Cricetulus griseus: one gene and its partner. The protein of the gene in region 2 interacts with the protein of the main gene of each other region in a biochemical or structural test. Links are inferred from orthologs where the notes say so. Each region holds a gene or a part of one and is shown on either strand. Other genes may lie near its edges. The genes, in order: Lnpep and Tnks2.

Region 1 (15,265 bases), on a different chromosome or scaffold from region 2:
CCTCTGTATTTAAAATCACAAGTCTTTTTTTTTTTTTTTGGTTTTTGGTTTTTGGTTTTTCGAGGCAGGGTTTCTCTGTGGCTTTGGAGACTGTCCTGGAACTAGCTCTTGTAGACCAGGCTGGTCTTGAACTCACAGAGATCCTCCTGCCTCTGCCTCCCGAGTGCTGGGATTAAAGGCATGCGCCACCAACGCCTGGCTTTAAAATCACAAGTCTTATAAATGACTCTAATGGCCATAAATAGTAATACATGTATACTTCAATATATTTTAATTCAATCTATTTTAAATAGTACTATAAGTATGAGATTGCATAAACTATCAATTAAATATTTTAAATATAAGTGCTTGTTACCTGACACCCTAAATCATAACCAAATTAAAAATCCCCTGAAAAATACAGCTACAGTAATTTAGTGCTCAAAAAAAAAAAAAACCCTAAACTTAAAAAAACCAACCAAACAAACAAAACGGTGCTAGGCATGTAGCTCATACTGGTGTTCTCAGCACTAATAATCTTTGCCAAGGTCAAAGCAAAGAGTATCACTACTAATTGATGCCTGCCATGGAATACATAGTGAGTTTAAAGCCAGCCCGAGCCAAGAGTGAAATCCTGCTTAAAGAAAACTAAACAGCAAACTCAGTGCAGAATGATTTGCGATAAACTTTGAGTTGTTAATTGGAAAGAGACATATGAAAGAAAGAAAAAGAAATGGAAAATAGTAATATGTAATTAAAAGATTTTCTAAAGACACAAGAATTTTGTGGAGCTTTATCACTTAGAAAACATTAGAACACAGTATCTCACTCTGATACTTATTTTACCGTACCGGAAATCAACAAGTAGTACAGGAGAAAAAGAAACAACAGAGTTTTCTCAAAAATATCAACTATGATAAGATGAGCGTTCTCTAAAAGATATGAAACCACCCGTGTCTAGTTTGTTTTGTCTAAGATAGGTATTGAACTTTGTTGCTTAGTTTTTACCTGTAAGTTTGACTCTTACTGTGATTTTAACCTTTCTGATTAGATTTTAAGAATTTATTTTAGCATAAAAGTATTAAAACATGAGTTTCCATTGCTATTTGAAATAATGAATTCAAATAAATTAAAAAAGAGGAATAAGAATATCTCAAACAACAGTAACTTGTAATATCATAGTGGACTTGCTTCCACTTGTGAATACTTGGATAATTCTAAGATATCTTATTATATGAAAATAATTAGTTTGAAAAAATATTTGTGCTACAAAAACAAAAGACTGCTCCAAGATTGCTTAACCATTTCCTGTGACTCTGAGAAAGTGGTTGGTTTCACAATCACTATGCTAAGCCTGTGTGGACTGAATTGTTTCACTTTCATCTTCCTGTAGAGAATTTAAAGTTTACTGACTGAGCAGGTTGTATTTATATATTTAAGGGTATGTGTATGTATGTATGTATGTATGTATGTATAATATGTATATGTAAGTCAACGATGAAAAGAAGAAGGCTGTGGATTTAAGAGAATAGGGAAGTTTTAGAGGGAAGAGTGGAAAAGGGAGAATAATGTAATTATAATCTCAAAATTAAAAATAATTATTTATAAAAATGTTTGTTCCTATCATTTTTAGTAAATACCCTTCAACAAATTTAATTGTTTAATGCATGAGATTTCTTGGGTTCTCTTTAAAGGCTTATTTAAGATCCCAATGTTTGCTTTCTTATAATAGCACTTAGTTTTCTAACAGCAAACTTGAAGTTTCGGTACAGGAGACACTAGATGTTTATTTGTTGTTGTGATAGGATTTCTCTCCATAGCCCCAGCTGTTCTGTAGATCAGGCTGGCCTCAAACTCAGAGATCCACCTGCCTCTGCCTTCCAAGTGCTGGGGTTAGAGTGTGTGCCACCACGTCCAGTTCTAATTTCTTAATTTTAATGAGAGAGAGAGAGAAAGTCCGTCTTATTGCCTCTGCTTGGTAAGATGGTAAACTTAGTGAACAACATAAAGAAACATTTTCGAATATTTATGACTGAGAAGTGAGATGTCATATAAAAGTTTGGTCATTAATACATGAGACTAATTATTAAGTACTTGTTAATGTGATAGGTTGTGTTCTGAATGCTTTATGTCTTATGTGACTTAGTGAGTGGGATATTTCTTCCCATTGATTTTAATATATTATAAAAAATATACCACAATGATAGAGTTACATACACAGTGGCAGAATGACTGGTTTTTAGCTAGCCTTCTGTTATATCTGTTGCTCAATCCAGTGTTATTGTGTGAGAGAACCTTTGGTAAATGTTGCTGCTCACCATCCTTTGTAGGGTGGTAAGATTGTTTTGTTGATAAATGAAATCATACCCATCAAACCCCTTCCTTAGGCTTAGGATGAAAAACCTACATGTGTATACAGGAGTTTTTGTGTGGAATTGTTCTAATGACAAATGTTCTGTTTCCTGTTTCTGAGTTGAGTCTGGGGCCCAGCATACATTGCCATCTCAGATGTGACATGGAACTGTAAACTAGTGTGTGCAGTGTGCTTTATGTTTGTCTTCAGGGAAAATTTGTTCTTATTTCAGGGACATGTAGCTCAGTGTAGAGCTCGAATTCCTCAGAGGATAAGATCACTGAAATATTGATGAATAATGATGATAATACTGAAATGAAGCTCATTAATTCACGAGCTTTCTATGTGAAATATATAAGGGATAAGGAGATCATATGTTATGATGTAGAATTTCTAAAATTTATGGTTTAAGACAACCATTTTACTTGGCAATGATTCTTTAGCTCAACACTTTGGATTGGGTTTTTAGGTGAGTGTTTCTTCTGCTCTTCTTGTCTGAAGTCACTCTTAAGCTGAAGTCATTGGCTGTCACCTTGACTTGAGCCTAGATGCTTCTAAGACAGGTTCACACGTGGTGAATCTGGCAGTGGCTGCTGGCTGTTGGCCGGATGTTTTTTAATGTGGTTCCCCCACCCACAAGGAAGCTAGCTAGCTTGAATTCCTTCTCATAGAACTGTAAAAGTAGTAATGAATAGTAAAGTTTACATAGCTTCCCAAGGCCCAGCATTAAAAATTCTGCCAAAGTCTTTCTGCTTCATTTCATTTATTAAACCAAGTTACAAGGACTATAAAAATTTAAATAGTAAAGATGAAATTCCACTTCCTAATAAGAGATCCCATAAAAGAGAAACAGCAAGTACTATCCTGGTATATAGGTTTCCTGATTTCTCTCTAAGCCAACAATATTGCTTTTTCATTAATTCATGAGCTTTCTATGTTAGCATGCTTAAAACATTGTGTGTATATGTGTGAAAGTTTTTTCCATTTACTTATAAAATAAAAATTGGGTAATAAAAATATCCAGCATACCCAAGCTCTATCTTTCAGGAATAACCACTGTTAATGTTTTTTTTTTTAATTTGCATTGTATCCTACTGGATACATGTTTATTTAAAATTCTGTAACCTGTTTGTCTTCCTTTAAACTGTATTTTTGAATATGTTTCTATATTTAAGGTAAAACCCATCTACTGCTGTTAAACAATTAGCTTTGTTCTATGGTTTGTCCACCAAAGGTTCACAGATTCCTGGGAACTTGTTTCTCAGTGTGCTGTTGGGAGGTGATGGAACTTTTAAGAGGTAGAACTGTGGAAGGCCTTTAGGTGATTGACGGCACTGTCCTTGGAAGGGAATAATGTACTTTTCCAGGAATTCTGAGTTAGCACTGCTGAGGGGGTTGTTACAGAACAAGTGAGCCTAACACCCCCTTGCTCTGGCTGTCTTCCTGTCTTCCTCTTTGTTTTTGTCATTGTGGTGCCATCCAGCATGAGGTGATACACTCAAGGGAGGCTAATCAGAGCTGCATGCTTTCTGGATTCAGCAAGATCTAAAACTATGAGCCAAGTAATCTTTTTTCTTTCTTTTTTTAAGTACCCAGCCCCAGATATAGGACTAAAAAGGATGAGTAGTCTTTTGTCATTTCCTTCCTTCCTTCCTTCCTTCCTTCCTTCCTTCCTTCCTTCCTTCATGAAAATACTGCTATAAACATTCAGTGAAATTATTTATTACATTTATTGTGTGTGTGTGTGTGTGTGTGTGTGTGTGTGTGTGTGTGTGTGTGTGTGTTGAGCAGAGGTTGCATGTGGAGGCCAGAGAACATCTTTTGCATGTTGGTTTGGTTCAGTACTTCCACCCTGTGATGAGACACAAGGTTCAAACTCAGGTCATAGGCTTGGCTGCAAGAGCCTTTTACTCCTGAGTTATCTCACCAGCCCCTAAACACTTTTTTTTTTTTAAGTTAACTTATTACTATTTTGTTTGTATGAAAGTGTGAGTATTTCGTAGTATATGTGTGTGTGAATGCAGCTGTCCATGTACCGAAGCACAAGTGTGGAGTTCAGAGGGCAGCTTTGAGGAGTCAGTTATCTCTTCCCACCTTGTTGAAGCACTGAGTCAGAGTTTTGTGTTATTTCTGTTGGGCTGTGCAGTCCAGGCTGTCTGACCCACCAGCTTCTTCTGTCTCTGCCTCCCATTTGCCTTGGATGTGCCATTGTACCCATTCTGTACCCATTGAATCCCATGGGCTCTGGGAATCAAGCAGGTCATCAGGTTTGTTCAGCAAACATTATTACACAGTAGGCATCTTGCAGGCTTTAAAAAAATTATGTACACCTCTGTCTCTCTCTCTGTGTCTGTGTGTGTGTGTGTGTCTGTCTGTCTGTCTCTCTCTCTCTCTCTCTCTCTCTCTCTCTCTCTCTCTCTCTCTCTGTGTGTGTGTGTGTGTGTGTGTGTGTGTGTGTAAACATTCTCCAACATATATCCCTGTGTAATTGATACTTTTCTCTTGTGGACTTACTTGGTGAAAATTTTGTAAGACCTTGGTATGTATTCATGAGGCATGAATTTAAGGATCTTGGTACAAGCTCATCAGTAGGTATAATTTTACCAAGCTGGGTTTGTTGTGTTGAGATCATGTTAAAGAGAGATTTCTAAAAGCTAATGAAAAATGTAAGCCATAGAGAAAAATCTTCCTTTAACATTTTACTTGTAGATTGAAATATACATAGTTGCTATGTTAGCTAATGGACTAAATTTTTATCTAGTATATGGATCTGCTGATGGAAGTTCTTCACTTTGTTTGTCCAGGTGAAAACTTTGTTCCTTTTCTACAGGAAATGACTTTTTCATTTTTTTCTCTTTTGTTTGTTTCTGTTAAGGATTGCAGTTTGCTGTTAAGGTCTGCAGTTTGCTTGCTGTAGATGTTTCTTGCCTCTACCCTTGATCCCTTAGGTTTCTTTGCAGAGCTTCCAGGCATTGATGCTTTGCACCCTGATCACAGTTTTTGCTAGGCTGACAGGCCAGCAAGCTCCTGATTTCAGCATGTCTTCTCTGTCCAGTGTTGGGGTTACATGCCCACTTTTTTTTTTCTTGAGTATTGGAGACTTAAACCCAGGTCTTCATGATTTGGCAGCAAGTATTCTTTCCCATTGAGTGATCTCCCCAGCCTCTGGTCCCTTTTATTTAGTTGCAGTTTTTCTGGTGAAAGTTTTATCTATTGACATAGTCCTCTGTTTTACTTTTTAAAGCCATTTTCCTTATTCTTTGGGACATATTTACAGCAGCTGTTCTAAAGTTAAGTGCAGCAGCTGACTTTTGTTTTCTTATGGATCACATTTTGTATGTCATTGAGCAGAGCAATGCTTATTAACTATTACAGCCTTATTTGAATATAGCAGGCCTTGTGTCTGCTCAAGAAAATTTGTTTAAATTAGGCTTTTGCAGGGATTTTGATATGTTAATTTAAATATATATACCCACTATGTTTTTCTGGGTATTAAGTAGCTAATGTCAGTCTTATTCTACTGATGATGAATAATATTTTAATAATTTCATTGCCAGATACCAAATTGTTAAAAGTGCTTCCCTTTCATTAAATTAACATGGGTCAGAAGATGTAGTACACTAATGAGATTCAAATTTGAAAACATTTTTTTTAAGAATCTGGGCTCAAATATAAATTTTACCAGTAAATATCTCTCTGGCTTTGAAATTGTCAGTCCATTTCTGTTTGTTTTTTCATGACTTAATTTTTTTAAGATTTTATTTATTTTTTTTATTAAGTATACAACATTCTGCCTCCACAACAGAAGAGGGCATTATATCCCATTATAGATGGTTGTGAGCCACCATGTGGTCTCTGGGAATTGAACTCAGGACCTCTGGAAGAGCATCCAGTTCTCTTAACCTCTGAGCCATCTCTCCAGCCCATGACTTAATTTTTGCCACTTTATAGAACTGCTGTGCAGATTAGAAATGTTAATTGTAAAGTGCCTTGTGAGAACAAGTTAAAGATGATTCAATTTGTTAAACTCTTAAAATCCCTTACAAGATGTGATTTTTTTAATACAAAATATTGACTGTCCCAATTCTAAGTCATTGATAGATACATAGTATTATTTACCCCTTTGCTTCTTGAGACCTTTCTCCTCAGTGACATTTGGCAAATGGGAGGAGTGTAGCTCAGAAGAGCTCCCACCACTTCCTGACTCAAGATATGCTGACACTCATGGTGCTCGTTCATTCTGTTTTTAAGGATGGGAAACATTGTACTGGTGAAAGGTACACAAGGGCGAAAAGGCAGGTTTTGAACTACAGTTTGATCTGTTTTGTAAGTTTTTTTGTCCGTGTTACTGTTTCTTGCTTGTCAAAATTTTATAAGTAATTTTCCTCTTTCAGTGTACTGTCGTACAAAAACATCCTTCTCCTGAGGGAAACAATAGCCCATTCTCTTGATGAGCTGTCTCTTAAGCCTAGAAGCAGGTAGACCCATCTTTAATTTGCCCAGGATAGAGTGGGACTCAGGAAGAAGACCCACACAGGCCTTACAACCTGGTTTGCAGTATTTGGCCAAGAATTCCAGGCTTCAAGTGTCCAGACCCAGAAGAAAGGCATTGACTACAATCCTTTTGGCCCCACTCAATCCTAGCTGTTTAGGGACATACATGGGCAGAGATGGCCAGAGTGACATACTCTAAAGTCAAGCCTGGAACCCAGGGTATTGATTGGGTGGTACCATTTTAAAGAAAGTACTATAAAATCACATCTGCTTAAAAAAATTTCTTTACTTTCATTATTAACAGAAAACAAATTCAAATGAAATAAATATCACACACCAAAATTACCCAGGCCTAAAATCCGTGTACATTTCAGTAAGCTTCTATACAGATACAATAGCCACTCTTTTTCACTATCAGATATATTTTTATTCACTTAGTGACCACTAACAATGAAAAAAATCTGTGACAGAAAAACAATTAGCTTTATACTATCTTTCATTAATATTAGCCCATTTACTAGTGTTTTTGTTTTGGGGGTTCATGACTATAGTATGCTTTTATATATATTCTTGATTTTTAATGAACAACTCAAGAATTCCATAAAGCCTCTATTTAATTCTAATAGCTTTAAGGTGGAAATAAGTCTTAGTGATTAAAAAAAAAAAACATTAAATTTGGTCTTTCCAAGAAACATTGCATTGTGAACTCTCCCCCACTCCTGTCTTATCTTTGTGTCTTATATTTGTAGATCGACTTCAGCTTCCAAGGAATATGATTGAAAACAGCATGTTTGAAGAAGAACCAGATGTGGTAGATTTAGCCAAAGAACCTTGTTTACATCCACTGGAACCTGATGAAGTGGAATATGAGCCCCGAGGTTCAAGGCTACTGGTTCGAGGTCTTGGTGAGCATGAGATGGATGAGGATGAAGAGGATTATGAGTCATCTGCAAAGCTGCTGGGCATGTCCTTTATGAACAGAAGCTCAGGACTTCGAAACAGTGCAGTGGGCTACAGGCAGAGTCCAGACGGCTCTTGTTCAGTACCCTCTGCCAGAACCTTAGTGGTCTGTGTTTTTGTCATCGTGGTTGCTGTCTCTGTAATCATGGTGATTTATCTACTGCCTAGATGTACCTTTACCAAAGAAGGCTGCCACAAAAAAAACCAGTCAACGGGACTAATTCAGCCAGTTGCCACAAATGGGAAATTGTTTCCATGGGCACAAATTAGGCTTCCCACTGCCATTATGCCTCAGCGCTATGAACTTAGCCTACATCCAAACCTAACCTCAATGACATTCAAGGGTTCTGTGACAATTTCACTTCAGGCTCTTCAAGCCACATGGAATATCATTCTCCATAGCACAGGACATAATATTTCAAGAGTGACATTTATGTCAGCAGTTTCTAGTCAAGAAAAACAAGTTGAAGTCCTGGAATATCCATATCACGAACAAATTGCCATTGTTGCCCCTGAAGCCCTTCTAGCAGGGCACAACTATACCTTGAAGATAGAGTATTCTGCAAATATATCTAACTCTTATTATGGATTTTATGGCATCACCTACACAGATAAAAGTAATGAGAAAAAGTATGTAAACCTCCTAAATGGTTCTTATTCTGTGCTCTTCTGCATGTGACTTCCACAGTGCAGGTTCTTTTGCCCACACCATATTTTTTTTTTAATTTAGGAAGCTATGTTCAAGTTAGAATGGTAAAATGCAAGAATATACAATTCTCTTAGGCAGAACTTCGAGTGAGTATTGTGATGGAAGAGAGTAGAAGTGTATGGTGGAAGGGAATGAAGGAAGATTATATTCTCTATTACAAACTAACAAACTTTTCTTGAGCTTTTCATGTTTTATGTGATGAATAGTGCTACCCTTCCCTGAGGCTGTAGGAGGCAGAGTGAGTGGTCCAGGCTACCCCGATGGCAGGCAGAAGTTTTAGGAGTCACTTTATGAGTTGGAGAAAGAGGGTATGAGAGGTGGCATATAAACACACATCATCTTAATGTTCTTAATCTTTACTGGTTTACTTTTTAAAATACCAGGTTGACTGTGTACTCTTTAAAAGTGTAAGAAAGAATCACATCTCAAAAAAGAAAAAAAAGTGATATACAGTGTAAGAGTATTCTACAGCCTATTTGGATCATACTTTGTTGTTTAATTTTATTAGCCATATCATAGATGGGTTTCATGAAAGATAGTGTATATTATAATGATTCCATTATAATCATAAGTAATGATAATTTCATCTCTGTGCACAAAGGCCATTTATATGTGCTTTATGTTAGTAGAGCATTCTTACATAATATACTCATAATACTCTGTAGACCAGTTAAGGAATTATTTACACTGGCCAGTTGGCTAATATATATTAATATATTGTTGTTGTTTTGTTCAATGTTTCAGAGTCTTTTTTAATTTTCAGTTCATTGAAAGTAAATAATTTTTTAAATATATGTAATTTCAATCATACATTTTATTTCTTGTTTGATGGACCCAACATTTGGTTTGGTTATAGATTTTTTTTTTGACAACTGTGGTTTTCTATATGGATTTCAAAGAAGAAAATACATTTTTTTTAAAAGAGTAATTTTACTAATTGAAAATAAAAAGAACACGTTAGTTCTTTATTTTTTCTACCCAAGACATTGAATTTGCTATAGAATGGATGTTTCTCTCTTAGCTTTTTTCCGAACAGTAGAAAAAAAAAAAAAACATTTTTTTTCTCAGTCATCAGAAAACACTCAAGTACTGGATGAAAATTTGAGACAAGGCTGCAGCTCTCTGTTGGGAATTAAGAATCATCAAAAGCTGCTACAATTTTCTTTTCACATCAAATTGTCCATCTGCTTCTCACATATATTTGAGGGTTTTATACTGATAGTTTGAATTTGAAACATGGTTATATTTTAGTAACCTCTACTTAATAAGAATGTCAGATAAACTTTTTCTTTTATATATGCTTTTAAAACAAATAGCATGCTGCCTTTATATTTCAGTTGTTGAATGATTATCTAAATTGAACACAAATTTGTGATTGTAGTGGCAGCCTTGGAATGTTTAGCGTTAGTTATTGGTTTGTAATCTTTGTTATCTTTGTAGGAACTACAGTATTTTGCACCCTGGTTTGCATTGTACATTTTTAATGTAGAAAGATCCACATATATAGAGAGATAGACATGTAGACAGACACACCATGCACACTATAACACAGTGACTTAATATTGCAAACAGAACTCTAAGCCCCAGAGCTATCTCATCCAATTAGATTGGAAACCTGGAATCTTTGAAACTATTGGTTTTTATGGGAAGAATGAATGCTGTGTAGTAGGAACCAGTGATTTTTTTAGGATAAGCATGTGTAAATTCTTGGTTCACTTGTGGTGCATGCTAGAAAAATGTAGGCCCTTAAAACTAAGAAGTAGAGAATTCAAAATAGTATTTTAAGCTGAAATATTGGAACAAACAGAATATAAGCTTATTTATCTGCTTGTTAATTACAGTGAAGGCCCCACATGATTGTGTATCTTGATAGAGGATAAAAGTTTAAATCACTCTGACTTTCACAATATCTGAAAACTACTAATATTAAATTTTGTGTGGGTGTGTGTCTCACAATTTTACTTTATTTTACTGGATACTTTTATACTAACCCCCACTATAATTAGAATAAATATTTAAACTGATAAAATGATTAGGGGGATGCATTTCTTGTTGCTTGGAAGGCACCTTTTCTCACCATTATACCACCAACGCTCTTGTTGCCTAGAAAATCATAATGTCTGATGCTTTGAATAGATCCTGCTTGTGATCAGGAAACTTTACCTACTTTCCACACTATTATAAATGTAATCTATGCCTATTCTTATCTCTGCACTTGTTTCCATTAGTAGGAAGGTCATGCTGGCCTTTGGTGTACGGTCCTTTTGCAGTTCTTATTTCTAATAATTTGAAGGTGTTCATTGTCTGACCTTTGTTTTTCCTCACAGCTCTTACTCCCCTATCATGTTGAGCTCTGTATTCCTAAAACTAAGCATAACAGTAGCCAGTACTTATTGGGAACTAAAACACTAGACACTGCTTAGAGCATTTTATGTTTCTTTAGTCTTCTACCTTGTCAAACTCACTAAGAAATGATAATGTATTTATAATAGCCAAGGAAAAAGGTACGTAAGAAATAGTCTGGCAGAGAGGGAACTCAAACCTGTTTCATAACCACTGTATTGAACTGCTTCTCCAGTTCACACTTTGCCTTTGCAGGTTGTTTTTGCCATTGCTTAGGATTCTCTTATTTGACTTCCAGGTAATTCCTGTCTTCAAATAGACTTGAGGAAAATCTGTAACAAGTTTTTCTGAAAGCAAACATAGTCACAAAGAAAGAATATGCATGAAGTATTCTGAATAGAGAAGACATTGTATCTTCAAAGCAGCATTCTCAGAGATGTTTGTGTGAAATAGTTATATTACTTTAACAATAATTTAAGGTTGTTTTTGTTTGTTTTGTTTTAGTTTTTCTTAGAATGTTAGGATATATAATCAGTCATGAAGGAATGCACTTGTAGTCCCAGCACTTGGGAGGTAGAGGCTGGAGGATCAGAGAAGGGTCTGTGTGTGTGTGTGTGTGCGCACATAATGAATATGAGGTAAATTTGGGCTATTTAAGATCCTGTCTCAGCTGGCCAGTAGTGGCACATGCTTTTAATCCCAGCACTTGGGAGGCTGAGGCAGGTGGATCTTTGTGAGTTTGAGGCCAGCCTGGTCTACAGAGTGAGTTTCAGTACAGCCATGGATACACAGAGAAATCCTGTTTTGAAAAACAATAATAATAATAATAATAATAATAATAATAATAATAATAATAATAATGATTTTAATTGTGGGAAAGATTTGTAGTTTCTTAGTATTAGTAATAAGCATCTATATAGAACCACCTATTTAGTATATAAATGTTTTGTTTTATTGTAAAGTTTTACTGGATTCTAACAAAACTCTGGGCTTCGTGCAGGGGATTCTGTCTCAATCATAATTATATATATATAGGTTACAGACTTTACAGAATCCAGAATCATATGTCTAATCAATGTAAACTCCAAATCCAATTTTCTGTTTTCTGCCTATCTTCTAAAAGTGGAGTCTAAGAATTGAGGAACAGAGGGTGTCATGACTAGAGTGCCTGTGGCTGGTATATTAGCAAGTCCAAGAAAGTGCTTTTGCCTGATACTCCGTTTGTGTAGTCTTCCACATAGAGATCCACTTTCTTCCTTGATTAAAAATCTTCCTTGCTTCTTTTTTTGTGCTTTTTATATGACCTGTAATTCAGTTTCTTTGTATGTAGTATAGCCTTGTCTGCTGCTGTTGTGGTGTGGAAAGGAGATCATCCTTTCTGTTTATCTCTGAAAAGTAAAAGGAATGCAGAGTACTGTTAAAGAACAACTTTTCTATTTTTGTGAAAGTGAATGTTGAAATGCAGTGTTGTAAACCCAGGTGTTTAGTAGCAATTAATGGCAATCCTTTCTACGGACTTTATGTCGAAAACTTTTTATGGAGCTACTTTTTGAATACCATCACACTTAGCAGCTGCCCCCTTTTATAGACACATACTGCCTCCTTCCCTTATGCTGTCTTCTTTCTCAAGTGTTTTGTTCCCCTTCTGTACTTTATCAAGTATTCTTGGTGTCCAAGGACCAATTCAGACTTTGTACTAGTTTCTCTACAGTGTCTTTAACTCCAGCAAAATTTGTTTAATGCTATTTGATCCTACTCATGTGCTTCCACTGTTAGGATATGATTTAAACCCTGCTAGAAGATGGTGTACACTCTTGACTTCTGTCTCTCTTAGTTAATTGGGGTCCTTTAAACTTTGTAATTGTAATGTGTTTGTCTTCACACCCCCAGTACTTGGCATGGTGCCCTGTCTAGTAGACACTCAATAACTATTGTATTGAATTTACATTTGTTTTTAGGTACTTTGCAGCAACTCAGTTTGAACCTCTGGCAGCAAGATCTGCTTTTCCCTGTTTTGATGAACCAGCATTTAAGGCCACATTTATCATCAAGATTACAAGGAATGAGCATCACATTGCATTATCAAATATGCCTAAGGTACTGTGACATGAAGTAAAATCTTTGGATGGATCGCTTGTCTCTGAGAACAGTTGGGTTTCTCTTTACTGTACTATTGGTAGGAATACTTAGGTTTATATGTGTCTATATTTCTGAGATAGTTAAGTAAAAATGAAGATTTGTCAGTCTGAGGATCACTCGAGGAAAGAAAGGACCCCCCCAGGTATTAGAATGCATGGGCAGGAGGTGTGAAGTGTCTTCTTGCTCTACAGTTGCACAAATACTAACACTGTGAACTAGTGCAAGCCCAGTAAATTACTTGAGACATAACGAAGTTGCTCTTCTAAGCAGTGTTGAGAGTGTGGAATTGTGATTATTCTTGGTGTTTTGGCAAATGAAACTTTGGATTGTTGTCATGAGGAAATGAACAACAAAAACAGGAGCCTTTTTCTTGAGTATTAATTGTGGGGTAGGTATTAGGGGTAACAACAAGCAGAGGAGTTTTATGCTAAAAAGAACTTAGGGTTCCCTTTGCGTATACCTGAACAGCAAGGTGAGGTCTATGTGATGCTTCCCAGAACTTGTGTAGCTAGGGTGAGGAATAGCCAGAGTCAGCAGGTAATGCAATCTGCCCCCTAGACAGTAGACAGCATGTTCTTGCATTGTCACAATCCTACTCATAGCCAAACTCTTAAAGAGGTGGGCACCTACTTGTCTAATAACCCAAAGCATAATCTGATTCATGGTTGGAAAATCATGAGAGTTGCTGGCATTTCTCCACTTTCAGTCTGTTTCAGACTTCTCTAGTGACCTAGCACATTTGATTCCACTATGTTTTCCTGGGGGTTCTCTATGGAGCACTAGATAACGTTAAAGGATATCTTAGCTACAGTTCCTTCTTGAAGTCAGTTATCATAAGGTTCTGGGGTGGTTGGAAGGGTTTGAGTTTTGCTACATTTTTAAAAACCACTGTTCCCTGTAACTTAAATTTATTGAGAGCCATGTTAGGGTTCTCATTGTACTCAGTGTTTCCTCTTGATGAAGGGTGGTAGAAGAAACTGAAACAAGGGGCTTTGCTCTCTCGAAGTTTGTGTTGAAAGACTAAAATATCCACTTAACTGCCTACATGATTTTTTTAGTTTTTCAGTATATTTGCCATTGATTGCCTTAATTACAGAACTGTCATCTTTTTTCCTTTGGTTATAGAAGTCATCAGTCCCTGCAGAAGAAGGACTTATTAAGGATGAGTTTTTTGAAAGTGTGAAAATGAGCACGTACCTGGTTGCTTTCATTGTAGGGGAGATGAGGAACCTGAGTCAGGATGTAAATGGAACCCTGGTATGTTGGTATTCTAATTGTCTGAAAATCTGCTTATAGCAACCTAGGAAGAATTCTTTCAATGTTTCTTGGTAGTTTCCTTAGGAAGACAAGCCTTTAGATCAGATTCTGACATTCTGTAACAGAAATGCTACTCTTACTTAACTGTTAGGTTTATCTGAGTTGCTCTATTACCAATAAAGACTTGGGAGTCAGATACTGGGTGAAAACATGATTAAAGAAGTGGTGGAGGAGTGACCATCTGTCCTTCTCTCCATACTTCCTACACCAGAAAGGAAGTCCAAAAAGCCTTTGAATCACCAAGTCCCTCCCTATTCCTTCCTGTGCCTCTATTGTATTTGGGGTCCTCCATAAGCTCTATGACTAGTTCTTGTAGTTGACTAGTCACTGGCTTTACCCCTTGATTCAAGGTTAACTTTATTAACACAGTCTCAGTGTCACAGTGCAATCAAATATCCCACAAAACTTAACTCTTATTTACTGCTATTTATTTAATACTTAAAAGCCAATAGTTTTCACATTTCCTATTTTATAAGAGAATTATAGTAATACAACATAATACACTAACATTTCTAGAACTGTACTGTAGAATATGATGTTCAGTAACCTTATATAGCTCTTAAGGTTTAAACTAAAATAAAATGTACCATGAGTCTCTGCTTGCCATACTTCAAGAGTTATAGTAGTTTGTGTGGCTAATGATTATCATATTGGCTATAAAAATGAGATGAATACTCTTTCAAAAAATTTTAGGTGCTGGGCTATACATCAGAAGTGGGTGGGGTTTTTTGTTGTTGTTTTTTGGTTTTTTGTTTTTTTTTTCTTTTGGTTTTTTGATACAGGGTTTCTCTGTATTGATTTGGAGGCTGTCCAGGAACTCTGTGTATACCAGGCTGGCCTTGAACTCACAGAGATCAGCCTGCCTCTGCCTCCCATGTGCTGGGATTAAAGGCTGGGATTAGATGTGCATTCTAATCTCCTCTACACCTCATTTTTCAGGACTATAATATATACAGACACACACAAAGAAG
Region 2 (16,046 bases):
TATCATCTGTCTTTCTCTGTATATAGTGTCTCTATGTATCTGGCTAGCTTCATATTCAAGATCTTCCTATCTCTGCTTCCTAGGGCTGAGATTACCAACATGTACCACCAAATTCAGCTCCTGGATGCTAATTCCACAAGAATTAATATCTGTGAATGTCTTAGTTCATCATTATTTTCCTGGAGTCCTTCAGAGGATGAGGTGTTTCATAGTTTGTTGATGTTTGCTTAATTAATATACCATGGCATGAGAAAGGAAGCTAAGAATGAAAACTAAGAATGGTACTGAGAAGCCAAGAAGGAAAATTTCAAGGAGACAGTAAATTTACTGCTTTTAGGTCTGACTCTGCTACCACCACCTCGGCTTTATGGATATTGTCTTCTACTATTGCCCCTCCCATCCATTCAGTACTCATCTGGAGGAAATGCTTTTAGAAAATCTTCCTAAATTGGAGAGTAAGAATGAGGGTATCTCTCTTCACTGCAAAGTCATTTAATATAGCCACCTTTAGAAGGATCCCTATTTCTTCACTGGTAACAATCATTAATAAAGACAGTAGCATAAAGAAGGCTACTTCTCATTAAAAGAACTTGGTGAGTATAGCAAAAGCTAAAGTAGGATGTATAGTTGTTAATGTTACAAGAAATAGTATCAAGTGGGAAGATATCTGTTCCAAAGTGCTAGTGACTAGCTGAAGGTCAAGTTGTTAAGTATCTGGCAAAATACCACTGAGAAAAAGGGCTGCTTGAAGCCAGAATTAAAGGGGCACTGACTACAGTTTTACCTGAGGAAATACAGGTAGAATGAGTGGATTGTGTAGATCCACACAGCTACCATATTCCAGGACACTGATGTCTTCTATGCCAATGATTTTCTACCAACATGATTCCCTAGCTATCAAAATGTCTAAAATCAGTTTGGAGACTGAGAGTAGAGATCTGCATGCTTTTAAAGACACACGGAACAACTATAATACATGTAAGTGGAATTTGCTATACTGCTCAAGATCAAGAGCCTGAAATTTTGAACATTTGAAGCCACATCCTAACACTAAAGCAGTGGTTCTCAACCTTCCTAATGTTGTGACCCTTTAATACAGTTCTTCATGCTGTGGTGACTCCTAGCCATAAAATTCTTTTCATTGCTACCCATAACTGTAATTTTGCTACTGTTATGAGCTGTAATGTATAATACAGGGGATACACACACACACACACACACACACACACACACACACACACACACACACACACACACATTTCATATATCTGATATGCAACCCCTGTGAAATGGTTGTCTGATCCCCAAACACAACTCACAGGTTGAGAACCACTGCACTAAAGGATATCATTTAGAGTCTCAGAGGTATTTTCAATAAACTTCCCACTGCTGGGAAAACATATGCATATAAGATGCATCACAGTCGGGCATGACCTCAGCATTTCAGAGGCAAAGGCAGAGGGATCATGAGTTGAATAAAAGCCAACATGTGATCTAGCCTCAAAAATGAAAACAAACAACAATAAAAAGATGTTTTCCAAATTCTCATTTCATCTCTGATGAAATCCTCATTCTTAGGTTCTCAAGAATGGCACAAAGCACTTCTGATAAGTAGCAATTTCTTGGGGGAGGGGAATGTTTTACAGCTACATTTCTATCTGTCCTCACTGGCAAGGTAGACATAAGAAGATATATCCTAAGAGCCAATGCCAACCTCCATCTTAAATTTCTTTAAAATAAGGAAGAGGGCTTTGTCCACCTTGACTTGGAGCTGGTATACTATCCAGCCAGACTAGAAGAAATGTAGAAAAGTATATCATGGACTGTGAGAAGATAAAACCCTGACAATCTGAATAAGGGAGGATCTGGAGGAGTGCTCCAAAGTAGAAGTTACTGAAGCCAGCTCTCCACGCTAGGTCCAGGAGCTAAGATCTTACATTATAAGACTGAACTGTTGAGCAGACTAATAATTAATCAGTATTGTAGTTTCTATTGTAAGATTTAACTACTGATTAAAAACTCCTTCCTGGAAATAGTGAGGCACAATTGTAGTAACAGGCAAAGAGTGTATATGTTCTGTGCATCACTCATAATTATGTTAGAAATGGTATTAAAGGGTTTGGAGTGATGGTTCAGTGGTTAAGAACATTTATTTTTCTTGTAGAGGACCCAAGTTCAATTCCCAGCACCCATATCAAGTAGCTTATAATTGCTTGTAACTCCAGCTCCAGGGGATGGCCTTAACCTCAGGTACATGCACATATACAATCTCACACACATATACATGTTAATGAATATTTTCTTTTTAAAGAAATGGTGCCAGGCAGCAGTGGAGCATGCTTTTAATCCCAGCACTCAGAAGGCAGAGGCAGGAGAGATCTCTGAGTTCAAGGCCAGCCTGGTCTACAGAGTGAATTCCAGGGCCGCCAAGGCTACAAAGAAAAAAAAAATCTGTCTCAAAATAAAATAAAACGGGGCTGGAGAGATGGCTTAGAGGTTAAGAGCATTGGTTGCTCTTCCAGAGGTCCTGAGATCAATTCCCAGAACTCACATGGTGGCTCACAACCATCTGTAATGAGATCTGGTGCCCTCTTTTGGTGTGCAGGAATACATGAGGAGGAACAATGTATACATAATAAATAAATCTGTAAAAAAATAGAAATGGCATTTAAGGATTTTTGAGATTTTGTTTTGTCTTTTTTTGAGATGGGGTTTCTCTACTTAAGTCCTGGCTGTCCTTCAACTTGCTCTATAGACCAGGGTGGCTTCTACTCTCAGAGATCCACCTGCATCAGCCTCTGGAGTGCTGGGATTAAGAGTCTTGCACATGTGAACATGGTCCAGTCTTCTTTCATCTTTAGAAATCCAGTTTTTTTCTATTGCCTGTATGATAAACTATAGATGCTCTTATTCCACTTTCTTCTTATAGGAAAAAAATATCCCTCTCTAAGCAGTTCACATTTTTATTTTATTTGCATTGGTATTTTGCCTGCATATATGTTTGTGTCAGATTTTGGAGTTACAGACAATTGTGAGCTGCCATATGAGTGCTGAGCATTGAACCAAGGTCCTCTGGAAGAGAAGTCAGTGCTGGTAACTGCTGGGCCATCTCTCCTGCCCATGCCTAGATTTCTTAAACCTCAGCCATTTTACATTTCCCTATACTGACTGACACTTTTCTGCATACTCTCAGGGGGCTTGGAGATGGCTCAGTGGTTAAAAGCACTAACTGTTCTTCTACAGAACCAGGGTTCAATTCCTAGCACCCACATGGCAGCTAACAACTCTCTCTAACTCCAAGATCTGACACCCTTACACAGACATACACTCAGGCAAAACACCAATGCACACCAAAAAAACACGTACTGTATGCATGTGCAAAATACTTAGACAATAAAAAATATTCTCCTTTTACAAAAAAAAAAAAAAAAAGGGAGCTGGAAAGATGACTCAGTAATTAAGAGCACCGGCTGCTCTTCCAGAGGACCTGGGTTCAATTCCCAGTGACTATACCGCAACTCAGAACCATCTGTAACTCCAGTTCCAGGGGAATCTGATGCCCTCTTCTGGCTTCCAAAGGTACTGAATGCACATGGTGCACATACATGCAGGCAAAACAACTATATACATAAAATAAAAATAAATCCTAAAAAAATATTTCAGATTCACAACTATGGAGTTCTACTCCATGGCAAGGAACACTGAATTTTGTCTACCATGATGAGCACCAAAATGACTTTCTCCCAATGTCTCCATCCCCCATTTTCTAGAACAAAAGTTCAAAGTATAGTGTTGTTGATCAGATGGGATTTCAATGCCAAAAATTTCATACTTTTAGAGTCCAAACCAACTTGTTTGTATACACTCTGTGGTCACCAAAAAAAGAAAAAGAAAAAAAGAAAAAGAAAAAAGAAAAGGAATTCATGCCCTGTATCTATTTAGATGGGGGCAGAGAAAGAATAGAAAAGGAAATTGTTTTCTGTTGTTTTTTTTAGACATGACTTCTTAAAAATTGTATTTATAAGTATGCAACTTAGTTCAACATGAAAAGCAGCTAACAGAAGAAAAAATTCTATATATTTATCTTAATCACAAACAGAACTTAATTCCCATAAGGGCTGACAACTGACTAATTAAACTAAGGGTTTTTTTTGTTGTTGTTGTTTTGAGGGGCATGTGTGGAAAGACAAAAGCATTTTTCATTTTCCGTAGCATTCATACCTCTCATTCCTACTGACAAAGCATGCCTTTCCTGCTCAATTAAACCTCCAGACCTTAATTGACTACTTTATTTTTTTTTAAAATGAGGTTATTTCTCCAATCCTGTAAAATATAATCACAAGTAACTGCTTGGTCAGGCAATTACCAAGTACCACCACCTACAGACAGCAGACCAAGCATCCAATAGTACACTTACATAAACACAAGTGGTAACTCACTACCCACAAAGATAATGTGGGTGGCTATACTTAAAAATAAATAGGGCTGAGAATGTAGCTCAGAGTTAGCAAATATGTCTAGTAGGGTCAAGGTACTGGGCTCAATACCCAGCAAAGGAAAACAGAATTAATCAGTGCCTCATTAATCTAATAATTTGGATTTTTAAAATGTACAAAGCCAGCTGGGTGGTGGTGGTGGTGGTGGGAGCAGCACACACCTTTAATCCCAGCACTAGGGAGGCAGAGGTGTGTGGATCTCTGTGAGTTCGAGGCCAGACTGGCCTACAAAATGAGTTCCAGGACAGCCAGGGTACAAGACAGGGTTACACAGAGAAACCCTGTCTTGAAAAACAAAAACAATTTACAAAGTCATCTCTCAAAAGACTCCTTATTTTCTAGTGTCTAAATGAAGGACTTTTGAAACTAGTTGAATATGAATTCTTTATTAATTATTTTTATTATTCTGTGTGTATGCCATATACACATGTGTGTGCAGGAGCCAGGTCTACGGCTCTCCATCTTACTTTTTAAGACAGGGTCTTGCATTGACCCTGGGGCTCACTGACTGTAAGGGCTGGCTAGTAAACCCCAAGGATCCTTCTTTTTCCACCCTCAGGAGCTGAGATTATAGGCATGCATCAACACAACTTTTTTTTAAATGTGGGTGCTGTCAATCTGAATTCAAATCCTCATGTTTTCAAGGCAAGCACTTTATTCCACTGAGCCAACTCCTTAGCCTCCTTAGTAATTAATTACTTTATGATTTGCATTTTATATCTTAATTTCACAACCCTAATACTGTCTATATAGGTGAATTACAAATTGTAAGTCGGTCCCTATGCTATTTCAATTTCCATTTCAATCTGGACAAACAATATAAAATACATGTAAATATGCTTTGAAATTTTGGGACAGGCACTGGGTACACTCTACCCTATTCAGTGGTAGAACACTTGTCTAGCATATCCAAGGCTTTAGATTCCACCCTTGGAGTGGAGGAGTGGTATGTTGGGGAAGAACTGAGGGTGGGATGGCATAGGAGCAACAAGGTCACACCATAAACCCACATCTCTAAATCCTACTATTTTCAGACATGAACTCACTAATACATCAAATTCTTGAAAGGTGGCAACTAAGATCGTCCTTGGCTATTTTTATCAAGTGAACATAATCTAAGTAACATTACCCCTTTGGATTATGTAGCAGTTGGTTGTGACCATTTGCCAAATAGGTTGGCTAAATGGTCAAGCAGGACAATTCAAATTAGCCAAAGAAAGGCAACACTGCTAACGAGAGATTTGGCTTCGGTGCATGTTTTCCCAGTGTCCACAGGCTTTTCCAGTTTGCCCAACTGTGGTTTTCCCAAACCTTTCCCTCTTAGAAAGGCCCCCAAAGGACACTCGAGTAAGGAAACATGATTCATGACAGCACGTACATTTTAAAATGGGGGCAGGTCAAAGCAAACAGACTACAATTGGTGTAACTGTAAAAGCAATGTCTGAGAACAAGAAAGTCTTTTTCATGCTCTTCTGTCCATCATTCCTGCCCTAGAGGAACAAGAGTACTTTAAAATGTTTCTTTTTTTAAAAAGAACCGCTAAACAATCTTGACGCACACTATAAGCAAATGTTACCAAGCCGTGAGGACTTTTTCGATTACCCAAGGTTCAAAAGGTTAAAGAGTTACCATCTGTCCTTAACATGAGAAGCATAAAAGGTTTAGTCAATACGCTGGCTATTTTAAATACCTCAACAAACTTAAGCACCCTGGTATCATAAAGAGAACCCAGTAGTTAAAACTAATTTCAAACTATCTAAAATAAATCTCGGGATGACTCAAAATGAGTCTCAAAATCCTAGATCCAAGCTCAAGTGCTTGTTCCGGCTTGTCTCTCACTTACTTTCCACCCCAACTTGTGAGTGTATATGTGTGTTTGTGTGTGGCAGAGGCCACCCACACTCAGCCTAAGTAGATCTCAGGGCTCCCAAACCTGCCTATTTCCGGTTTTAGTCTCTCCAGAAACCTAAACCAATTAACTCTAATGAGTCAATAGCCAATAAAACAACTCCTGAATTACATTTTCACAGTTTAAGAAGGCCGCTAGAACTAAAGGGATTGGTAAGCGTTACGGTGAAACTTGCAAAGAAGGGTGAATTGTTGAGATAATCGCTCTTTCAATTCACAAGGTCTACTAAGCCTTGTGTGCAGAGGCCCTACAGGGTAGCAAGACCGGAAGTCGGTGCAGGTATTGTTGATACAGTAAAACAAAACAAAGCACCCCCCTCCTCCACCTTCAACAAACCACACCAAAAAAAAACAAAAAAACAAAAAAAACAAAAACCCATGCCACAAAAACAACTTCCCCAGAGCACGCTCACCCCACCCCTCATCACGAGCCCCAAGACAAGAGCGCGAGATGGCCGTGGTGAGAGTCCCGGGGAAAGGTCGGAGCCGGGGCAGTGCCGCGCGGCTCGCGGCCTGCAAGCCCGAGCCTGCAGGTGGGGCGTGCGGGAGGGAGGCGACGCGGGGCCGCCGCTTACCTGCGGCGAAGTGGAGCGGGGTGGACTTCCTGCCGGCCGTGTCGCGGCTGTTCACCTTCTCGGGCGTCACCAGCCTCTTCACTCGCTCCACGTCCCCGTTGCGGCAAGCCTCGAACAGCTCGCGGGCAGACGGCTCTACGGCCTCGGCCACCGCATTCGCGCAGGCCGCGCCCCCGCCGGCGCAGCGGCGACCAGACATGATCCGGGCCGCCGCCGCCGCCGCCAGCAGCAGCGCCAGCAAAGGCAGCAGGAGCCCCGGCCCCGCGAGCAGGAGGGCGAGGCCCCCCGCAGGAGACGCGCTCAGGGCCCGGGCCGCTTGGCTCCCCGCTGTCACCAGAGCCGGCGCAGTCCCATGGCCGCGCCGCCGCGCGCCCCCCGCTCGACTCCGTGACCCCCGGCCGCCCCACCGCGGCGGAGGCAGCGCGAAACCCGCCCGCCGAGCCCGGAGCGACGCGGCGGCGGAAGCAGCCGAGACCGCTTCTGCCAGCTCCGGCGGGTCCCCGGGAGCGCGCGTGACGTCAGCGCGCGCGTGCGCAGTGGCCGCGCTCCGGCCGGGCCGGCCTGGGCGAGCGGGGCCGCGCGGAGGGGTTTGTGGGAAATGTGCGGCTCTCGGGAGCCTTCGGTGGAGGGAAGAGAAGGGGCTTCGGCCCACCGCCATCTTTACGGGGCCTCTGCCGAGGACCGGAGGGCTCGCTCGCTCGCTCTTCTGTTTCTCAAAGCACAGCCCTCCCGAGATGAGTTTCATTGCTCATATCCTGGAGATGAACCTTCGCAAGTTTTGTTCCTGCTGCCCATGCGTTTTCTTTTGGAAGCCTTAGCGTGGAAAATGTCTGTAGTTTTGCTTCCATGCCTTCCCATGGGAGATTCCTGCTCCCACCTCCTCCCTCTCCCATGTTCTTTACAGTGTCTCTCCGCTTAACCCTCGGCATCGGATTTTGTTTTTCTTACAAGCCTCTTCTCAGAAACGGACTCGTTGCTCTTACGGAGAACTTGGGATGAACGGCCCTAAATCAAGAAGGCGACGAATTCTAAAGCAACAATTGCGGGGTGGGGTGGCTCTGATTAGCTACATTTCCCATAGTAAATTATTAGCCCAGTGCTGACTAGAGAACCTATATATAAATCAGGATTGTTACCGGATGTGGCCAAGGTGCCGGTACACTAAGCGTGCACATCAAGAAAGTTTCCTGAAGTTCTTTTTTTTTTTCTCTCCCTGTGATCAAAGAGTACAAGCGCACAATTCATTTTTGTGTTTAAGGTAATAGTGACATCTTTGTGTATGACTTTGTTTCAGAAACCCGAAAGAAAGGTTGATAGAGATTTTGCTTGTGCTGAAAGTGCTGACCTTTGTCATGCTGACAAGCGTTTCCCCCTGTGAATTGACTTAACCTGTTTTTCAGGAAATCCAGTTTTTGTTTGGGAGTGTTGACTCACCGCTGTGGGAGAAAAGCAGGGTACTCTTTTTTGAGCGTTTTAGTAAATGGGAGCATTGTTGTATGTGTTTATTCTAGAATCATGTTCTTAGGGTATTTAGTGTACATTTAAATTGATGCATCTTAATAAAAATAAACATTCATGAACATACCAAAGGATTAGAACACATACTAATGATTGTGTCGAATTTTTCTTCATTTCATCTACTTGCCAAATATATTCCCAATTATTTTTTTATTTAATAATTTCTGCTTATCTATATCCTCCCAGTATATCTTAAGCAACATCATGCTGGCACAGCAAACACTTTATCTACGGATGATAAATAAAAGACCCAGAGACTGATACTGGGGTCAAGCTTCAAGCCGAACATCAGAAAAGCAAAGCAGCCCACCACCAGCTCTTCTTACCTCTACCTCAGCTCAGACCAAAGGATCGTTCTTCAGACTGCTTCGGACTTCACTGCTGGGATTAAAGGTGTGCATCGCCATACCTGATCTCTATAGCTTGAGGCTGGCTTTGCTTTCTGAATCCTCAGGCAAGCTTTAATAAATCATAAATGATGTATCTCCTACGCCTAACATTTTTAAAAAAGCATCATATGATTTCTAGAGAAATGCAGTTGAAAAGCACATTAGGATGGCTATTTTAATGCAAACAAAAATTAACAAATGTTGATATAATAGTACAAATTAGAATCATTTTTCATTCTTGATGGGATCATAAACTGTCCACTCATTTTAGAAAACAATCTGGCAGCTCCTCACAAAACTTAACATATCAGGACTGGAGAGGGGACAACTCGGTGGTTAAGAGCACTATCTGTTCTCCCTAGGACTTGGGTTCAGTTTCCATAACCATAGCTCTAGTCTCAGGATCTGTTGCCCTTTTCTGGCCTCCCCAAGCACCAGGCATACATATGGTGCAGACAAAAATACCAAAACATAAAATGAATTGGTTAAGCCACTTTAGAAGTCAGTGTGGCGGTGTCTCAGAAAACTGGGACTCAATCTACCACAAGACCCAGCCATAACACCAGGAAATTTGCAGACAAATGGATAGAATTAGAAATAATCATCCTGAGAGAGGTAACCAGACGGAGAAAGATAAACATGGTATGTCCTCACTCATAAGTGGATATTAGCTTTAAAGTAATGCTACAATCCACAGACCCAGAGAGACTAGTTAACAAGGAGGGTTCATTGTGTGTGTGTGTGGGGGGGGGTGCCCGGATTTCCCTGTAAAGGGAAATAGAGATTTCATGAGTGGATTGAGGGTGGGCAAGGATGGGAACGTAAGTCATCAGGGTGTGTGTGTGTGTGTGTGTGTGTGTGTGTGTGTGTGTGTGTATGTGTATGAGGGGGGAATGGCAGAGAGGGAGAGTACTGAAAGGGGTATTTCGGGGTCAGGTAAAAACCTGGCACAAGGGAATCTCCAGGAATCTCCAAGGAGGACACTAGTTAAGACTCCTAGCGATAACAGACATATATGTAGCCTGAACTGGTCATCTCCTGGGACCAGATTGGTGCCTAGCCCAAATGTTATCAGAGAGGCTTCATCTGGCAACTGATGGAAACAGATGCAGACCCACAGCCAAACATTAGGCAGAGTTTGGGGAATCCTGCAGAAGAGGGAGAGAAAGGATTGTAGGAGCCAGAGGGTCAAGAAAACTCACAGAATCAAATAGCCTGGGCTCACAGAGACTGAACTGACAACCAGGGAGCCTGCATGGGACTGTGCATATATGTTACAGTTGTGTAGTGTAGTCCTCTTGTGGGACTCCTAACCGTGGGAACAGCGACTGTCTCAGGCTCCTTTACTGGTTTGGGGGACCCTACTCCTCATATGGGGTCACCTTGCCCAGTCTTAATACATGGGGAGGTTCTTAGTCTTACTGTGACTTGATAAGCCATGCTTGGTTTTGTCTCATGGGAGACCTACCATTTCCTGAACAGAAATGGAGGGAGAATGGACTGGGGAGTAGAAACAGAGGGGGCGGGGAGAATGGGAGGAGAGGAGGGAGAGGAAAATTCAGCCAATTTAATGTTAACAAAAAAATACACATAAAACTAGCATCTGATGTACTTCTGGGTGTATATGGTGAAACAATCTGAAATCAGGACCTCAAATATTTCCACAATCATATTCACCATATGATTGATTACTCACAACAGCAAAGAGGCGCATGCAGTCCAGTTGTTCCACGAGGGGATGACTATGAAATGTGATAAATGCATATCGTGCTTTAACTCTCAGCCTCCAGAAAAAAAAAAAAAAAAAGGGAATCTTATTGGGTGTCCCAACATAGGTGGTTATCGAGAATATAATGTTAAGTAAGATAAAGCAGCTAACAAAGACAAGAAATAGTTTTACTTCTTTCCTTCAGAGAGCAGCCTTAGCAAAATACCACAAAACAGATGGTTTAAATACAATTTTCTCCCCACTACATGCACACGTAGGTGGAGTTTTTCTGTGTCCCCACAGTCACCCCCAAATAACCACACAGAGAATTATTATTGATTATAAATTCTCAGCCAATGGCTTAAGCTTGTCTCCAGGCAGCTCTTACAACTTAAATTAACCCATTTCTATTAATCTGTGTGCTGCCCCGAGGTCTGTTTACCTCATCTATGGACTTCCCATGTTACTTCTTTCGAGTCTGTAGCTCAAGACTCCTCAGCCAGACAAGGGACAAGTTGAGGCTACAACAGAGATACCAGGATGATCCAGATGCCCAAATCACAGGTCACCTGTTGAGGAAAGCTGTGGACACAGAGTGGAGTTTTCTGAGAGAGAGGCTGCGGATGGCAGAGCTGGAGGGGAGAAGCCACCCAGCCCTTTAGAACTCGGGCGATTCTATCACAAACCCACGATGTAGGATGTAGAGCTACAGAAGTTGGTGTTCACCCTGCTGGGTTTTATTCTTGTTTTGTCCCTAACTTTTCCTTGTTATGTCCCATTTCTCCATTTTAGAACAGGATGTTTATTCTATGTCACTGTGTATTGGAACTTTGTAACTTATTTTTTTAATGTTATAGGGGCCCATAGTTAGGAAATTGCACTGAATCTCAGAAGAGATTGGACTTAGAAATTTTGAACAGTGTTAGGACTCTTAAAGTCCCCTGTAGGGACTTTTTAGGTAGGAATGAATGCATTTTGAACCATGAAATGGCCATAAGGCTATAGGTACCAGGGACAGAATGTTATTTGAATGTGAAATGTCCCCCATAGGGTCATGGATTTGGACATTTAGTCTCCTGCTAGCAGATAGGGTTGATGGTAGAACATTTAGGAGATGAGCTCTCACAGAAGGAAGTGGGTCACTGAGTGTTGTGGAAAATTATTTTAGGGCGTGTTGCTTTTGTTTATGCTGCATTTGCTTAACTCTGTGATGCTGTGATTCTTTGCCTGTCTAAAACACCTGGTGGTCTAATAAAGAGATGAATGTCCAATAGCAAGGCAGAAGAAAGGATAGGCAGGGCTGATAGGCAGAGAGAATAAATAGGAGGAGAAATCATGGAGGAGTAGGAGGAAGGAACAGCAAGGCCAAGGAGAGGAGGATGTCAGGGGCCATTCACCCTCCCAGTCAGCCGTGGAGTAAGAGTGAAAGCAAGCTATATAGAAGGAAGGAAAGAAAAAGTCCAGAGGCAAAAGATATACTGTTACGATAAATCTTTCCGCCAAAAGCCACCGAGCCCCGCCGCCACGTGTGCACTTTACGCCAACTGCCCACCCGAGTTAGGGCCCAAATTAATATACAGAACTTGTATTAGGTTCAAATGCTGCTTGGCCAATGACTAGGATTCCTCATCTGTTAGCTCAGTCTTAATTATCATAAATCTATATATTTTATAAGACTTATCTTATAGAGGATGCCTTCATTTGGCACCCTCTCTTGCCGGTGGATCACATTGCACCGCTGGAGGAAGAGTAGAGGGGAAAAGGGACATTTTCTGTTTCTCCTTGCTTAAATATGAGTCTCCTTGCTATGTCACTTCCTGCCTGGATCACCACTTCTCTACTACATTTCCCAGAATCCTCTTTGACTCCTAGTCCCGTCATACTTGCCGTCTCATTGGCTCACAGTATTTTATTCAATAATCAATAAGATGAACATACACAGTGCATTCCCCATCCGTAGATGGGATAAATTAAGAAATGCTGGCAAAAAACAAACCAAGATTAGGGTGGGCCCTCATAACTAAGAATAAGCCTCCGTGTGTGATTTATTTGGGAGCTGGGTGATAGGCCCCCAAAAGAGCAAAGAGCCAAAGAGAAAAAAGGAAGAAAGAAAGAAACCAACAACTGAGGGTGTGGCTTTGAGTTTATACAGTGGCCCTACTTTCTGGTCTTTTCTCTGCTTCCTGACTGTGGGTGCAGTGTGACCGGCTGCCTCTAGTGACAGTTATCATGCCTTCCCCACCTCAATGGACCACATCTCACAAACTGTAAGCAAAACAATCCCTTCCTCTGTTAAAACTATTTCTTTTTAAAATTTACAGTATTTTTATTAAGTTTTGAGAGTTTCACAAATGTATACATTGTACTTTGATCATATTTACTCCACAATCCTAACTCTTCCTAGAGCCACCCCAACTCCTTCCAACTTTGTGCCCTCTTTTGCTTAACTTTGTGCCCTCTTTTGCTTTGTTTTTTTAAAAATATATCTTATTATATATATATATATATATTTACATATAGTTGTAACTATATAAATAAAACAGTATACACAAATATACATACACACATATATGTTTGTTTATTTGTTTGTTTTTTTGAGACAGGATTTCCTTATGTAGACTTGGCTGTCCTGGAATTTGCTCTATAGACCAAGCTGGCCTTGAACTCACAGAGTTCCACCTGCCTCTGTCTCCTGAGTGCTGAAAATAAAGTTATGCATCAACACCTTTAATTTTAAAATATTTAAAAATTATAATATAATTACATCATTTACCCTTTCCCTTTCCTCCCTCCAAACCATTTTATGTACCCCCTTGGTTTTTCTCAAGTTCATGGCCTCTTTTTCTTTAACTGTTTGTGTGTGTGAGTGTGTCTATGTGTGTATGTGTGTATGTATGTGTATCCCTAAAATATATGTGATGCTTTCTTAGTCTGTATAATGCTGTGTCTTCTTTTTTTAAAATCTAGTCCACCATTCCAGTTTGTACTGCCTGCACACTCAGTGAAGCCATCCACTGGAGCACGGTTGAATTAACCAGGAGAGCCACATTTTTTGTTTGTTTGTTTGTTTGTTTTTTTGAGACAGGGTTTCTCTGTGTAGCTTTGGAGATAGTCCTGGAACTAGCTCTTGTAGATCAGGCTGGTCTTAAACTCACAGAGATCTGTCTGCCTCTGCCTCCCAAGTCCTGGGATTAAAGGTGTGCACCACCACCGCCCGTATGGGAGGGCCACAATTATAAAGAAAACTCTTCCTTCTCCAGAAGGCACCAACTGTCAATAGCATCTCAGGTAAGGGTAGGGTTTGTGAGCCTTTCCCCTTCCCATTGTGACTGCTGACTTCCAGTTCACTGGCTTCTCTTGTGCAGGTGTTCTGCAGGCAACCGCAGCTGCTATGAATTCAAGGCTAGTGGGGGACCAAAGTGTTTCTGCTATGGAATATTTTGAGATCCAGCCTTTGGCCTCACTAAACATGGAGCGTATTGTTAATGCCAGTAGGGCTACTTTTGTTTACCATGGCCTCAGGGTAATATGCCTCCTAATTTGCATATCTATGCACCTAAGCATCTGAATAGGCCTGCACCTGGGCAGGGAGATCAGAGGTATGTGAGTAACTTGTGAGGATGGATGGTTAGGAGTTAGGGGCGAGTAGCCAGAGCAGAGAGGGAACAAAGAGAGGAATGGTTCCCTCGTGGTGTTGGCAGGATGGTTAAGAAACACCAAAAAAGATGGCTAATAAAGAAATGACTCTAGTTCTACAACATGGACCTGAGAGCTCTCTGAAGATGACAAGATGCCTGTGTTTGATCTGTATTGCCGTTGGGTTGCTGGGAGCTTCCAGGTCCACACCCCCCCACTCAGGCCGAACCTCATGGCTGTTGTGGGTTAAAGCTGAGACAAGCCGGGTCACGACAAAGGCCATAGCAGTGCTGCCATGTCCAGAAGACATCCACCCCGGTTCTTCCTGACCTCATTCTTAAATCTTTCTGCTCCCTCCTCCACGATGCCCTCTGAGCCTGGGGGAAGGGAGTATGTATGATGGAGATGTCTCATTTGTAGTTGAGCACTCCACAGACTGTAATTTTCTGCACTTTGAACAGTTGTAAGTTTCTGAGTTAATTACCATCCACTACAAAAAGAAATTTTTTTTTTTTTCTGAGAGGTCTGAGAACTGCACTAAGCTATGGCAATAGATACCCAGATTTAAAGGGCAGGTGATGCTGCGTCCACTTAGCAAAGTAGTAGTAGTAGATTTACCTGTGAGGCCCATAGCTCTTCAACTATGTGTTCTTGGCCAGACTTATAGTCCCAGGAATGTGTTTCCTCCTGTGAAGTAGGCCTTAAATCTAAGTAGAAAGTAATTGGGTTACCCCCATAACAACTATGCCACTATTATACCCATGGGCATATCTTGCCATGCTCATAATTATTGTGGCTCACAGGGTTCACAGATGGGTTATTTTTCCCCTAGCATCTGGCATAACACTCTCTAGAAGGAAGTGTCTTGGTTATTACCAACTTGATTTCTCCATATCCTGTAACCAAAGTGTGTGGTCCCTCAAATAGGGTCTTACAATCAAGTTCTGGTGGGCAACCAAGAACAATGACAATAGCTGTATTGTTTTTTTTGGGGGGGGGATCTACTGGGTGGTTTTGTGTGTCAACCTGACACAACCTAGAGTCATCAGAGGAAGGAGCTTCAGCTGAGGAAATGCCTTCTTGAGATCCAGCTGTAAGGTATTTTCTCATTTAAGTGACCAATGGGGGAGGGTCCAGCCAGTGACGGGGGTGGGGGGGGGGGGGTGTCATCCCTGGACTGCTGATCCTGGTTCTATAAGAAGGTGGGCTGAGCAAGCCATGGAAAGCAAGCCAGTAAACAGCTTCCCTCCATGGCCTCTGCATCGTCTCCTGCGCCTGCGAACCTGTCCTGTTTGAGTTCCTGTCCTGACTTTAATCAGTGATGAACAGCAACGCTGAAGCGTAAGCCAAATAAACCCTTTCCTCCCTAACTTGCTTTTTGGTCATGGTGTTTCATCGAAGCAATAGAAACCTAAACTAAGATGGGAGCTCTGGGACATCTCCTTAACTTGCTTCTTGTCAAATATTTTGTTGTAGCAATGGGAAAAGTAAAGAACCCTCAGGACAGCCGGGCGTTGGTGGCGCACGCCTTTAATCCCAGTACTCGGAAGGCAGAGGCAGGCAGATCTCTGTTGAGTTTCAGGCCAGCCTGGTTAGGCTCCAAAGCTACACAGAGAAACCCTGTCTCGAAAAACCAAAAAAAAAAAAAAAAAAAAAAAAAAAGAAAGAAAGAAAAAAAAAGAGCCCTCAGGACTTAATTGTTTTTCCCCAAACCCCTCATTTTATTTTTGTTGCATTGAAGATTAAGTTTCAATATGAATTTCGGAGGTGATGTTATTATTCATATCACATATCCCAGCACTATCTCTTCCTATAT

What was found.
Region 1: the proteins of Tnks2 (region 2) and Lnpep form a complex in vitro, tested with the Homo sapiens proteins (4 studies listed by BioGRID and IntAct, with this or other methods). The link is inferred for Cricetulus griseus from reciprocal best matches to the Homo sapiens genes TNKS2 and LNPEP.

What each region holds. Positions count from the first base shown.
Region 1 is NC_048595.1:295,752,830-295,768,094, reverse strand, and holds part of Lnpep (leucyl-cystinyl aminopeptidase), read left to right. Parts: intron 1-7,575; coding exon 7,576-8,416; intron 8,417-12,796; coding exon 12,797-12,935; intron 12,936-14,102; coding exon 14,103-14,234; intron 14,235-15,265. UniProt on the Homo sapiens protein: Release of an N-terminal amino acid, cleaves before cysteine, leucine as well as other amino acids. Degrades peptide hormones such as oxytocin, vasopressin and angiotensin III, and plays a role in maintaining homeostasis during pregnancy.
Region 2 is NC_048596.1:24,943,130-24,959,175, forward strand, and holds the start of Tnks2 (poly [ADP-ribose] polymerase tankyrase-2), read right to left. Parts: upstream 7,463-16,046; 5' UTR 7,179-7,462; coding exon 6,980-7,178; intron 1-6,979. UniProt on the Homo sapiens protein: Poly-ADP-ribosyltransferase involved in various processes such as Wnt signaling pathway, telomere length and vesicle trafficking.